Linked DNA regions of Neurospora crassa OR74A. The protein of the gene in region 1 purifies or fractionates together with the protein of each later gene. This does not show direct contact. Links are inferred from orthologs where the notes say so. Each region holds a gene or a part of one and is shown in the gene's direction. Other genes may lie near its edges.

Region 1 (3,750 bases):
TCGACATCCATAGCCAATGGTTACAAAAGAAGTTGCTGCCGTATAGAGACCAATCGCTGTGATATGCATATTTCGAACGTGTATAGTATCCGCGAAGTTGAGACTCAGTCTCCCTCTACCATCGTCCATCAAGTTCGAGGTCTCATAACGACAATGCTGGTACAGCATGTTCCAGCGGTTCCCTGCGCACTTCCCAAGCAAGCCAGTCGGATCTCGTTGTCCTGTATTCACCACGTTAGCCTTCGTTTCACCACACTCTCCCCAAGGATAAAACTGACGGTAGCAGTCCCATACTATTAATCTTCCACACACCCACCGCCAGCGCCAACACCTGCATAAGCACATAGGCCGCCTTCACCTGCAGAATAGACCCCCGGTTGCTGTCCGTCTCGAATCGCTCAAAGGCCTGGTTGGTCGACAACAAGCCCATGATGGGGTTCTTGAAGGCCATAAACACCATCATGATGCTGAAGATCTGGAGCGAGTTGCCGGACATGTACATCATGATGAGCGTCATGGGCAGGTTCTTGGCGGGCGCGAGGGCGACTTCCCAGGCCTTTTTGAGCTTGAGCTGGTCCATCTTTTCGGGGGAGGGTTGTTCGCGGGGGGCGGGGCGGGAGACATCCTTCTTCTGTAGGGGTAAACATGTCAGCGAGGGGGCTATGATTCGTGGTAATGGGAAGTTGCTTGCCTTGGAAGAACCAGATACGGCTTGCGACGAGTAGCCTGGGGGATCGGGGATGCTGGCAGGCTTGGACTTGTAAGGCGGTGGGTTGGCGAGGTCGGTTACCCATCTGGGGGCGGGGTCGACAACGGGTTTGAGGTCAGTCATGGCGGGCTTTGTGAATGTATCGTCTATAGAAAGTGAAGGTATTGGTAATGGGAAGTAGGTGGAAGCTGGATTGCGATGACGCCCAACGTGTAGTGTAGTGTAGTGTACGTGATGGAGTCCGTGCTTCGCTAAGGTAGCTGCCCGTCCCTGACTTCCACTTCCCGTTCGGTCTCTGAGACACCGCAGGGCCCCACTACACTTAGTTGAGCCGCTTCCCCACGCTGGCCGCCGAGTGGTGGGGACCGTGCGCTGTTGATGATGCTACCGAGCTCCACTGAAGCGTGCCAGTCGTTCACTGGCAGAAGGGCGTCGTCCAGTGGGCGTTCAGTGTTGACGGCACCAAAGCGGCAGGTCCAGGTCTGCAGGGTCCGCGATCGCTGACCAGGAGGTGCCGTAATTAATCGACCCGACGGTTCAGGGGACGCCCCAACCTGACCGGTGAACAGAATTGAACCCGTATTATTTTCCATCGTTACCCCCCCCGGCGAGTCAAGATTTGAACTAAACATCATCTTTTCCGTTGTCTGTCTGGCTCGTTGGAGTTTTGGCTGAAGACTACCGTACCTAGAAGCTGTTTCATCCCGATCAACTACGTACAGTACAGCGACAACAGAAAGTGGAGGGTACTTTGCGCCGGAACAGATCTTCACCGAGCCTACCGAGAGAGTGACGACGACAAGGACGACGACGACGACGACGACGACGAACATCGCGATCCTTCTTCGACGACAATTATCTCCATTAGTACTCCAGCACTCGGGAACTTCTTCGCGACGGACATTGGATTATCTGCCTCAACCTCCAAGTTACAAAATAAAGAGGAGGACAAGCAGCAGAAAGAGTGCCTGTGACACCCTGTTTCACCTGCTTGTTGTTACATTGGTTGGCTGTTCTCGACTCGACGATAATCACAAAACATATAATTGTGTTCCAGAGCCAGAGGGGCATTTTCCTTGCCTAGCACACCACCCACCACACCTTACGCCCGCGCCGAGCTCGTTTGCCATTCGTCCATTTTGTCGATATCGAACCTATTTTCGTTGCATCGCAAGCATTCCTCGGCACCGGGTTCGAATCGACCAAAACAGGAATAGCTGTGAGGAGGTTGTGGACGATAATACTATACTCTACAAGCAGCCAACAACAACATGTCGGCCGCACAAGGAGGAGGAGACTCCAAGCTGTTCGCGAGGGTAAGATGAAATATATCATTACACATGTTACGCTGCTCGGGATATGCCGTTGCTTTGTCTACCACCACCACCACCACCACCACCCCTCCTCCCATCCACCACCCCAGCTCAGCTTCCTTCCTGTATCCCCCCCCCCCCTCCCTTGCTTGCTTGTTTGTTTCTCCTCAACATCGCGAACCTTGATGACCGCAATGACCACCGCCACCATGTTTGTCGCATACCCTATCCCGCCGAACATTAGCTTACCACAGACTCGACAGGGCAAAGTAGCTGAGCTACGCCTCGAGCTGAACAGCGGCAGCAAGAAGGACAAGAACTTTACCCAAAAGAAGATTGCCCTCAAGAAGATTGTCGCCAACATGACCATGAGTAACAATGACATGGTCGGTTTGTTTCCCGATATTGTCGCCTGCATGGCCATCCAGAGCTTGGAAATTAAAAAGATGTGCTTCTTGTATCTGGTCAACTATGCGAGGATGAAGCCAGAGATTGCGGTAAAAGCAATTCCGGTTCTGGAACATGTAAGTCACCAACCACGTCCACCTTTTTTTGTGCGATATAGCCAGTCACTGACAAAGACCAGGACATGGAAGATCCAAACCCCCTGGTGCGCGCCCTTGCCCTACGGACCATGTCTTATATCCACGTGCGCGAGTTCGTCGAGGCTACTGTGCCACTAGTCAAGCACCTCCTCCGCGATATCGACCCCTACGTTCGCAAGACGGCGGCTTTCTGCGTGGCCAAGCTCTACGATCACGATCGACACATGGTTGAGGCTTCGGACCTTATTGACAGACTCAACAACCTCTTGAGAGACGACAACCCGACAGTGGTGGCCAGTGCCCTGGCGAGCTTGATGGATATCTGGGAGAGGAGTGATGCTATCAAACTCACTATCGACTACAGCAATGCCTCCAAGATGGTTGCCATTCTGGCCGACTGCTCCGAGTAGGTTATCCCCCTTGCAACACAAGTACGGTCTACTGATAGCAAGCAGATGGGGCCAAACCTACATCCTCGAAGCCCTCATGTCTTATATCCCCCAAGAATCCGGCGAAGCTCTCCTTCTCGCCGAGCGTATTGCCCCACGCCTCTCACATTCCAACTCGTCGGTAGTCCTCACCTGTATCCGTGTGATCCTTTACCTCATGAACTACATCTCCGACCAAAAGCAAATCTCGGCCCTCTGCCGGAAACTCTCCCCACCACTGGTCACCCTCCTCGCCAAGGGTCCCGAAGTGCAATACCTCGCCCTGCGCAACGCCCTCCTCATCCTCCAACGCCGCCCCGAAGTCCTCCGCAACGACATCCGCGTCTTCTTCTGCAAGTACAACGACCCCATCTACGTCAAGGTCACCAAGCTCGAACTCATCTTCATGCTCGCCAATGAGAAGAACATTGACGAGGTCTTGACGGAACTCCGCGAGTACGCCACCGAAATCGACGTCCACTTTGTCCGCAAGGCTGTCCGCGCCATCGGCAAACTGGCCATTAAGATTGAGCCAGCGGCCAAGCGATGCATCAACCTGCTGCTCGAGTTGGTCTCCACAAAGGTCACCTACATCGTGCAAGAAGCCACGGTAGTGATCCGCAACATCTTCCGCAAGTACCCGAACCAGTACGAGTCCATTATCGGCACCCTCTGCGAGCACCTGGACTCGCTCGACGAGCCCGAAGCCAAAGCAGCCATGGTGTGGGTCATTGGCCAGTACGCCTCGCGTATCG
Region 2 (3,750 bases), on another chromosome or scaffold:
CCACCTTTTCCTTGCTAACTCTTTAAGTTTTCACTTACCCCGTTGCCAAATAGCACCTCTTCATCAAGCCCGCCCCCCCCCCCCCCCGCCGCCGAGACGCCCTTCACCACCACAATCACTTTTAGCACCACAAACACTACATCTCACTATCAAAATGTCTACCGGCAACTTCAAATTCGAAAACAAGGGCCACAACTGGGTCCAAAACGACGTTTGGACCGCCGTCGACGGCTACACCATGGGCCAGCTCCACCCCTCCAGCAAGCCCAACGCCTCAGCCCTCCAAAACGCCCTTGATGCCTCTAAAGCCGCCGGCCTGCCCGACATCTCGGCCTCTCCGGCTCAGAGCAAGTTCATGGCTCTCCAGTGCCGCGTCTTGGGCGTCACACACGCCCTCGAGGTCGGCACTTTGGGCGGCTACTCGGCCATCTGGCTCGCCAGCGAGAACCCGCAAATGAAGCTTACCACTGTGGAGTTTGACCCCCACCACGTTGAGGTGGCGCGCAAGAACATTGAGTACGCGGGTTTGTCGGACAGAATCGAGGTTATTCAGGGATCAGGATTGGAGGTGTTGAACCAGCTGAAGAAGGAGATCGAAGAGGGCAAGAGGCCCAAGTTCGGCTTCTTCTTTATCGATGCCGATAAGCCAAATAACCTCAACTACTTCAACTTGGCGGTGGAAATGGCGCTGCCCAAGGCCATGATTTGCGTGGACAACGTGGTGCGCGGAGGCAGGCTGATTGATCAGAGCTTGACGGAGCCCAGGGAGACGGCGGGCAGGATTCTGGTCGAGGGAGTGGCCAAGGACACGAGGGTTGAGTCGGTGGTCATGCAGACTGTGGGCGAGAAGAGCTACGATGGATGTCTTTGGGCCATCTTGAAGACAGATGCTTGAAATACCTACCTATAATTGGGAGTTGAAGTGTACGATGTTATGAGTCATGACAGTGGTGGGGGACTTATCAAGCACTCGATTAAATAGTATGCTGCAATGAAAAGGAACCGTTACATGTCGCCTTGAAAATTCCTGAAGCTCCAAATAATGAAGTGGTCGTAGGTGGGATGAAGCAGGATGTCGTGCTCCTCAGATGTCGTATTGCCCATCCTTTTTCCCCTTGGCGCAGAGTTGTAGACGTGCTCCTTGTTTATTGTTAGTGCCACGAAAAGGGGCTTCGTTGTCAAAGTACCTCGTTGCTTGGTGCAGAGCGCAGTGCGTGTGTCACTAACAATTTTCCATCAGGCCTCGCTGCTGTGTTTCCTAAACGCTTAGGGCAGGAGTAAGGTATGATGTACCTACCTTGCTCGGTTATTGCCTGCCGTAGGGTGCGACAGGACGGAGACTGGCACACAGCTCAGAGCGGCAGGCTCCTCTCCCCAGCAGGGCACCCATGTCGCGCGCCCCCGTAGCGTCCACCATCCCCTGAAGAGCCGCCGTTCAGGTGGCACTAGTCGGGGCGCTCAACACCTAGGTACAGCACACGCAGGTACCTAGTAATGGGGTGTAGAGAGAGGTAGACGCGGGTTGCTGTTCCTGACCGCCCGCCGCCTTTGACATTGAAACTTGCCCGCCCGTGTCTGCCGTCGCCGCCCGTCGCCAACTCGACTTGCAACTCTCAATCATTACCTTCCTTCTTCTCCCCCCGACGACACCCGTCACGATGCTGTCCGGGATCCTCATCTTCAACCAAAAGGGCGAGAACCTCATCTTCCGAGCCTTCCGCAATGACTGCCGCCCACGACTGGCGGACGTGTTCCGCATCCAGGTCATCAGCAACGCCCAGGTCCGATCCCCTATCTTGACCCTCGGCAGCACCACCTTCAGCCATGTCAAGCACGAGAACATCTACCTGGTCGCCATCACCCGTAGTAACGCCAATGCCGCCCTGGTCTTCGAGTTCCTCTACCGCTTGATCCAGCTGGGTCGCGGCTACTTTGGCAAGTTTGACGAGGAGGCCGTCAAGAACAACTTTGTCCTGGTCTACGAGCTCCTGGATGGTATGTCCCACCTACGGTAGCCCCCCTTTTTGGTGTTTCTAGATGGCGGCTTGCAACTAACCTCAACTCTATGTCCGCCGCGCCCTTACAGAAATCATCGACTTTGGTTATCCCCAAAACACCGAGACCGACACTCTCAAGATGTACATCACAACCGAAGGCGTCAAGTCGGAGCGCGCCGTCGAGGACTCCGCCAAGATCACCATGCAAGCTACTGGCGCTTTATCCTGGCGCAAGGCCGATGTCAAGTACCGCAAGAACGAAGCCTTTGTCGACGTAATCGAAGATGTCAACCTGCTCATGAGCGCAACCGGCTCCGTCCTGCGCGCCGACGTCAACGGCCAGATCATCATGCGCGCCTACCTCAGCGGCACGCCCGAGTGCAAGTTCGGTCTCAACGACCGCCTCCTACTCGACCAGGACGGACTCATGAGCCTGCCCAGCGGCAACAGGATGGGGAGCAAGGCGACCAAGGCCGCGGCCGGCAGCGTCACGCTCGAAGATTGCCAATTCCACCAGTGCGTCAAGCTGGGCAAGTTTGACAGTGACCGCATCATCAGCTTCATTCCGCCCGACGGCGAGTTCGAGCTGATGAGGTACCGCGCAACCGAGAACGTCAACCTGCCGTTCAAGGTGCACGCCATTGTCAACGAGGTGGGCAAGACAAAGGTGGAATACAGCATCGGTGTGCGCGCCAACTTTGGATCCAAGTTATTTGCGACCAACGTGGTCGTCAAGATTCCCACGCCGCTCAACACGGCCAGGATCACGGAGCGCTGTACCCAGGGCAAGGCCAAGTACGAGCCGTCCGAGAACGTGATTGTGTGGAAGATTGGTCGCTTTGCTGGACAGAGCGAGTTTGTGCTGAGCGCCGAGGCCGAGCTTACGAGCATGACAAACCAGAAGGCTTGGAGCAGGCCGCCACTCAGTATGAACTTTAGCTTGCTGATGTTTACCAGCTCTGGCTTGCTGGTTCGCTATCTTAAGGTGTTCGAAAAGAGCAACTACTCGAGTGTGAAGTGGGTGAGGTATATGACAAGGGCAGGAAGCTACGAGATTAGGTAGGTTGCCGTTCTTTTCGTTTTTTTGTTCTTCTTCTCCGATTTCTTTGCTGTCTCCTTTACCGGCGCAATGCATTTCGCTAATACTTTCACAGGTTCTAAATTATTGTATAATACGTAATGGCGTGCGCCACCGACTACACACCCTATCCGGTTAATGCACGGGCCATCCTACCACCTACGGCATATAATAGCACGGCGTCTGGGCGTTACTAGTTACACGAAGGGAAGCATCAGGCGATTGATACCAGAGTAATAAAATCAACTTATACAAGGAGATGTCCCAAAGGGGGAACAAGGGTCACAACAACGTTACGACGAGCACAAAACGACGAAAAGCTCTTCGCCAGTGTATGGGACAGGCACGATAATACGTGGCACGCGTGGCAGTGAGCTATAGGACATGGGGCCGTGCGATATGGAGAGCTAAACTTCAAGCGATAGGATATGTCGCCAATCAGCTTTGTATGAAACTACCAGACCATGGGTGCTGGTGAAGGGAATGGTCTGGAACAGCACCAGGGGAATGGCTTGTCCGATGATAGAAAGAGACACGGGAAAAATGTTTTGAACTCATCTCCTGTTGTCCTGTTAATACGATCGAGCATGGCTGAAACGGGAATGTGCTTACATAGTAACAGGTCCCTCGAGAGGCCTGATACCGGTGGCCTTGGACTGGAGTTGGCCGCCTACT
Region 3 (3,728 bases), about 1.9 Mb from region 1:
GCGTACAAGCTTGTTGGAGTCGCCGTACCACTTTTCTGTAAGAGTCGAGATATGCAGATTGATGAACGAGGCGCCGCTCTCGTGCGCCACAGCTTTGGCCAGCATGGTCTTTCCGCAGCCAGGAGGGCCATATAGCAAGACGCCCGAAGGCGCGGACAGTAGCGTGCCGCCATGCGAATAGAGCTGCGGCATCGTGAGCGGGTAAATGATGGCTTCCCTGACCTCCTCAATAATCTCGTCTAGACCGCCGATATCGTCGAACCCAACCGGGATGTCCTCGGGCGCAACTACTTCCAGCGCTACCTGGCTCTCGTACTCGTTGAGAATGAGGTCCTCAACCCGCACGGTGGAGGGTGAGTCTTCGGGGACCTCATCGTCGGCGAACTCGTCGTTGGCAACTTTGGATTTGTCTCGTGACTTTTGTATCCTGGCCAGATTTTGTTGAGCTTTCAGCCTGTTTTGGTCGTGCTTAGCACGGTCGGGGTCGATGAGCTTTGCGACGTGGGGGGCGACGTAGTCACGGAAGATGAAGTATACGGATATTGTCTGGAGAGCAAAGTGTCAGCAGATTGTGGTGGGCGCATTGCATCGCGATTAGCAGGGCCCGTACGGTAGCAGCTAGTAGTAGCCCGGACATGATGTCCTTGGCCACACGCTTATTATCGGTCATTTTGACTTGAAGAGTGAGCCCTGGCCGGGTCGGGAGGGGAGTTGACAGCCCGCGGGTCGCATCCAAGAGTTGAGGGCTCTTTTGTCGTGGACGTCGTGATCGGAGGACTGGTAAGAGGATACAAGATGTATAGAGAAACAAGGGCTAATGCAACGAAGCGAACGGCATGCACCGGGCAGCAGCAGTAGTTGTTGTTCGCGTCCAAGTCAATGGACGTGACTGATGGAGGATGGGAACTTGAACTGAATCATCAAAAGTTGAAAATGGGTCCCCTCGAACGGTGGTCCTCGGCTTCAGCTTGCCATGTGCACTGCGTTCGGCCCAGAGAATGGGGCGCCACCCCAGTGGCTACAATCGATGTGACCTGACCTTGTCAATCTTGCCAAGACCTCACACACTTGTCCCCATTACAGTGAATGGTCCCGACTCCCTTGCTTCCGTTCGATCGATCGAACCTGACAAAGATTGGACTCGAACTGGAACGGCACCGCACTGAAACCAAGCGCCAAAACAACGACTCCAGTCGCACTGCGACACGTGAAGACGCGGCGCCTGCCCTGGGCGGATAGCGCAGCTGCTATCGATAAGCTCCTACAAGTGCCAAGAGTTGCCCCCTATCGGATCGCATCAGATGGAAATCAGCCAGGGTTCCCTCCATTCCGCCTCCACTGCCGCTGTGAACGAGCACCTCGATGGACGACGGAAAGGAAAGCTCGGGCCCCACTCACCCCTGGGCGGCTCGTATGGACGCGGCTCATCCCAGAGGGACGACAGCAGGACTTCGACATCACCGCTAGCAATTCCATAATCCGTATCTAATCATTTACACAACACCATCTTTTCCCTTCCCGTCGATCCTTTGTACGAACATCGATTTACGTCGCATGTGAGATCCAATACCACGCGGTTCTAGTGCCGGGCAGTTCAATAAAGCAACGGCGGATTCGCGGTTCGGTTTGGTTCTCTTTACACTTTCTGTGTATTGTTTTTCAACTTGGCAACTTTCAGACGGCCGCCCGCCTCGCTGTTGTCGCAAAAGTATAATTTGCAGCCATGTTGTCTTTCATTCTCATCCAGAACCGACAGTACGTACCCTTACCTCCTCTTCTACTACATACAAGCGCATCATGTGTCGCAAAGTCGCAACATCATATAGCAGATGTGCCACACCATACACCATACACATACATATCTAAAAGTCCATTGTCGCAAACTCGATAGACTAACACCACCAAACAAAGGGGTAAAACCCGTCTAGCAAAGTGGTATGTCCCCTACAGCGACGAAGAAAAGATCAAGCTCAAAGGCGAGGTATGTCCAGTTTTCCCTCTCCCCCCTTCCCTTCCCCCTTACTTAACCTCCCCTTCTAAATTCTTCACATCCCCCAGATCCACCGCCTAGTAGCCCCCCGCGACCAAAAATACCAATCCAACTTCGTCGAGTTCCGCAACCACAAGGTCGTGTACCGACGATACGCGGGCCTGTTCTTTTGCGCCTGCGTCGACACGAACGACAACGAGCTAGCCTATTTGGAGGCCATCCATTTCTTTGTCGAAGTGCTGGACAGCTTCTTCGGCAACGTGTGCGAGCTGGACTTGGTCTTCAATTTTTACAAGGTGTACGCCATCCTGGACGAGGTGTTCTTGGCGGGCGAGATTGAGGAGACGAGTAAACAGGTTGTCTTGACGAGGTTGGAGCATTTGGATAAGCTGGAGTGATGACGGAAGGAAATAAGGCGTTGGAAGGGAAGAAAAGGGCGAAACGGATAAGGGGCTAGGAGCCAAGGGGGGTGGATGAATGCGGAAAAAAAAGGGGGGCGGGGGGCGGCTGACTGACGAACCGCGACCGACCGGCCGACCGACCGACACACCAAAATATCAACCAGGGGCTTGGGATGGACGACGACGAATACTGACTTCCGCACTTGGACGGCTCTCGGCAATTCCAGCCGAACATACGGGTGCAGTAACGAGGTCTGACCTTCTGCCGGAATCGTTCGAACGACCCAGACCCTCGACCCCATCAACACAGAGCTGAGCTGGCTGGACCTTACATGACCACGACCCTCGGACGGGAAAGCTTTGGGTTAGTAGACGTCAACCCCTGCCGTCCACACTTCCAATGAGAGAAACGATCACCGACTATCCAAGCATCGAAAAGGGATGACAAGAGAGAAGGACGCGAAGAGGTGGTTACATATACCCATATCACACATAAGGGGCAGGAACATGTTCAGCAAACACTGAACAAGCAAGCTGCCTATTCTACCACACCAACAGCCCCTTATATATCAGGGCTTCTGAGCTTATACTTAGAGTAATCGATCAACTAATCTTACAAAGACACCGCGTCGCGAGATCCGAAACGCATTGCTCTATGAAATATTGGTGTTCCTTCACGACTCTGCCTGAGAAGCTTCCGATGTTCTCTTCCAAAGCATGAAGTTTTCGTCAGTGGCAAATAAATGAACCGTCTCTGCAGCTCAGCAACGAAGCGAGCCTCAATGGCCGGTATTGACACTATTGTGTGGTGCTCGCCATGAAGTGAACCCTGCGCTGCAAAAAAATTCGGGTATCTACCTGCCGTTGTCACCAAAAAAAAGTTGCAGAATTAACTTTGACCATGGAGAGACGTTCGTCGACTTGGACATGCACCAAAGGGATGTTTCAATTCTAAACAACTGTTTGCTTGCTTGCAATCTGTATCGAATCGTGAAACGAGACCATAAGAGGTATTTGACGCCATGATCCAAGTAAGTCCGTAGCATATCTTGCCAACCTGTCAACAGACTGGCCTGGAGTCAAGTGCAGACACTACTGCGCCTTCGACCCCTCGAAGACTGTGACGTCCACTTGATCTTCAGGCTGAGAAATCGTAACCTCAACAGGTTCAAGGTCCGCTTCAACGTGAATCACGTCCTTGATGGCCGTCTCAGATTTGCTATTGTCTCCAATCTCCTCTGCGCCCTCCATTGGCGTGCAATTTTCATGGTCATGTACTGTGGCCCCATGCCCAGGCTTGACTTTGCGGACGATATCAGCGCTCTCAGCCGAAGTCA

The links.
Region 2: the proteins of NCU05232 (region 1) and NCU09673 purify together in Saccharomyces cerevisiae (affinity purification with mass spectrometry; 4 studies listed by BioGRID, with this or other methods). This does not show direct contact. The link is inferred for Neurospora crassa OR74A from reciprocal best matches to the Saccharomyces cerevisiae genes APL1 and APM4.
Region 3: the proteins of NCU05232 (region 1) and NCU07989 purify together in Saccharomyces cerevisiae (affinity purification with mass spectrometry; 3 studies listed by BioGRID, with this or other methods). This does not show direct contact. The link is inferred for Neurospora crassa OR74A from reciprocal best matches to the Saccharomyces cerevisiae genes APL1 and APS2.

Annotation. Positions count from the first base shown.
Region 1 is NC_026504.1:5,672,828-5,676,577, reverse strand, and holds the start of NCU05232 (AP-2 complex subunit beta), read left to right. Parts: upstream 1-1,251; 5' UTR 1,252-1,980; coding exon 1,981-2,025; intron 2,026-2,285; coding exon 2,286-2,546; intron 2,547-2,608; coding exon 2,609-2,973; intron 2,974-3,022; coding exon 3,023-3,750. Other genes in the region: NCU05231 (ER membrane DUF1077 domain-containing protein), read right to left, coding at 143-221, 279-631, 692-832. UniProt on the Saccharomyces cerevisiae protein: Adaptins are components of the adaptor complexes which link clathrin to receptors in coated vesicles. Clathrin-associated protein complexes are believed to interact with the cytoplasmic tails of membrane proteins, leading to their selection and concentration.
Region 2 is NC_026505.1:874,877-878,626, forward strand, and holds the start of NCU09673 (AP-2 complex subunit mu-1), read left to right. Parts: upstream 1-1,546; 5' UTR 1,547-1,658; coding exon 1,659-1,995; intron 1,996-2,086; coding exon 2,087-3,056; intron 3,057-3,151; coding exon 3,152-3,158; 3' UTR 3,159-3,750. Other genes in the region: NCU09674 (O-methyltransferase family 3), read left to right, coding at 155-895. UniProt on the Saccharomyces cerevisiae protein: Component of the adaptor complexes which link clathrin to receptors in coated vesicles. Clathrin-associated protein complexes are believed to interact with the cytoplasmic tails of membrane proteins, leading to their selection and concentration.
Region 3 is NC_026504.1:3,822,641-3,826,368, forward strand, and holds NCU07989 (AP-2 complex subunit sigma), read left to right. Parts: upstream 1-1,129; 5' UTR 1,130-1,723; coding exon 1,724-1,755; intron 1,756-1,911; coding exon 1,912-1,981; intron 1,982-2,058; coding exon 2,059-2,388; 3' UTR 2,389-3,175; downstream 3,176-3,728. Other genes in the region: NCU07988 (ATPase family AAA domain-containing protein 1), read right to left, coding at 1-546, 611-670; NCU07990 (hypothetical protein), read right to left, coding at 3,484-3,728. UniProt on the Saccharomyces cerevisiae protein: Component of the adaptor complexes which link clathrin to receptors in coated vesicles. Clathrin-associated protein complexes are believed to interact with the cytoplasmic tails of membrane proteins, leading to their selection and concentration.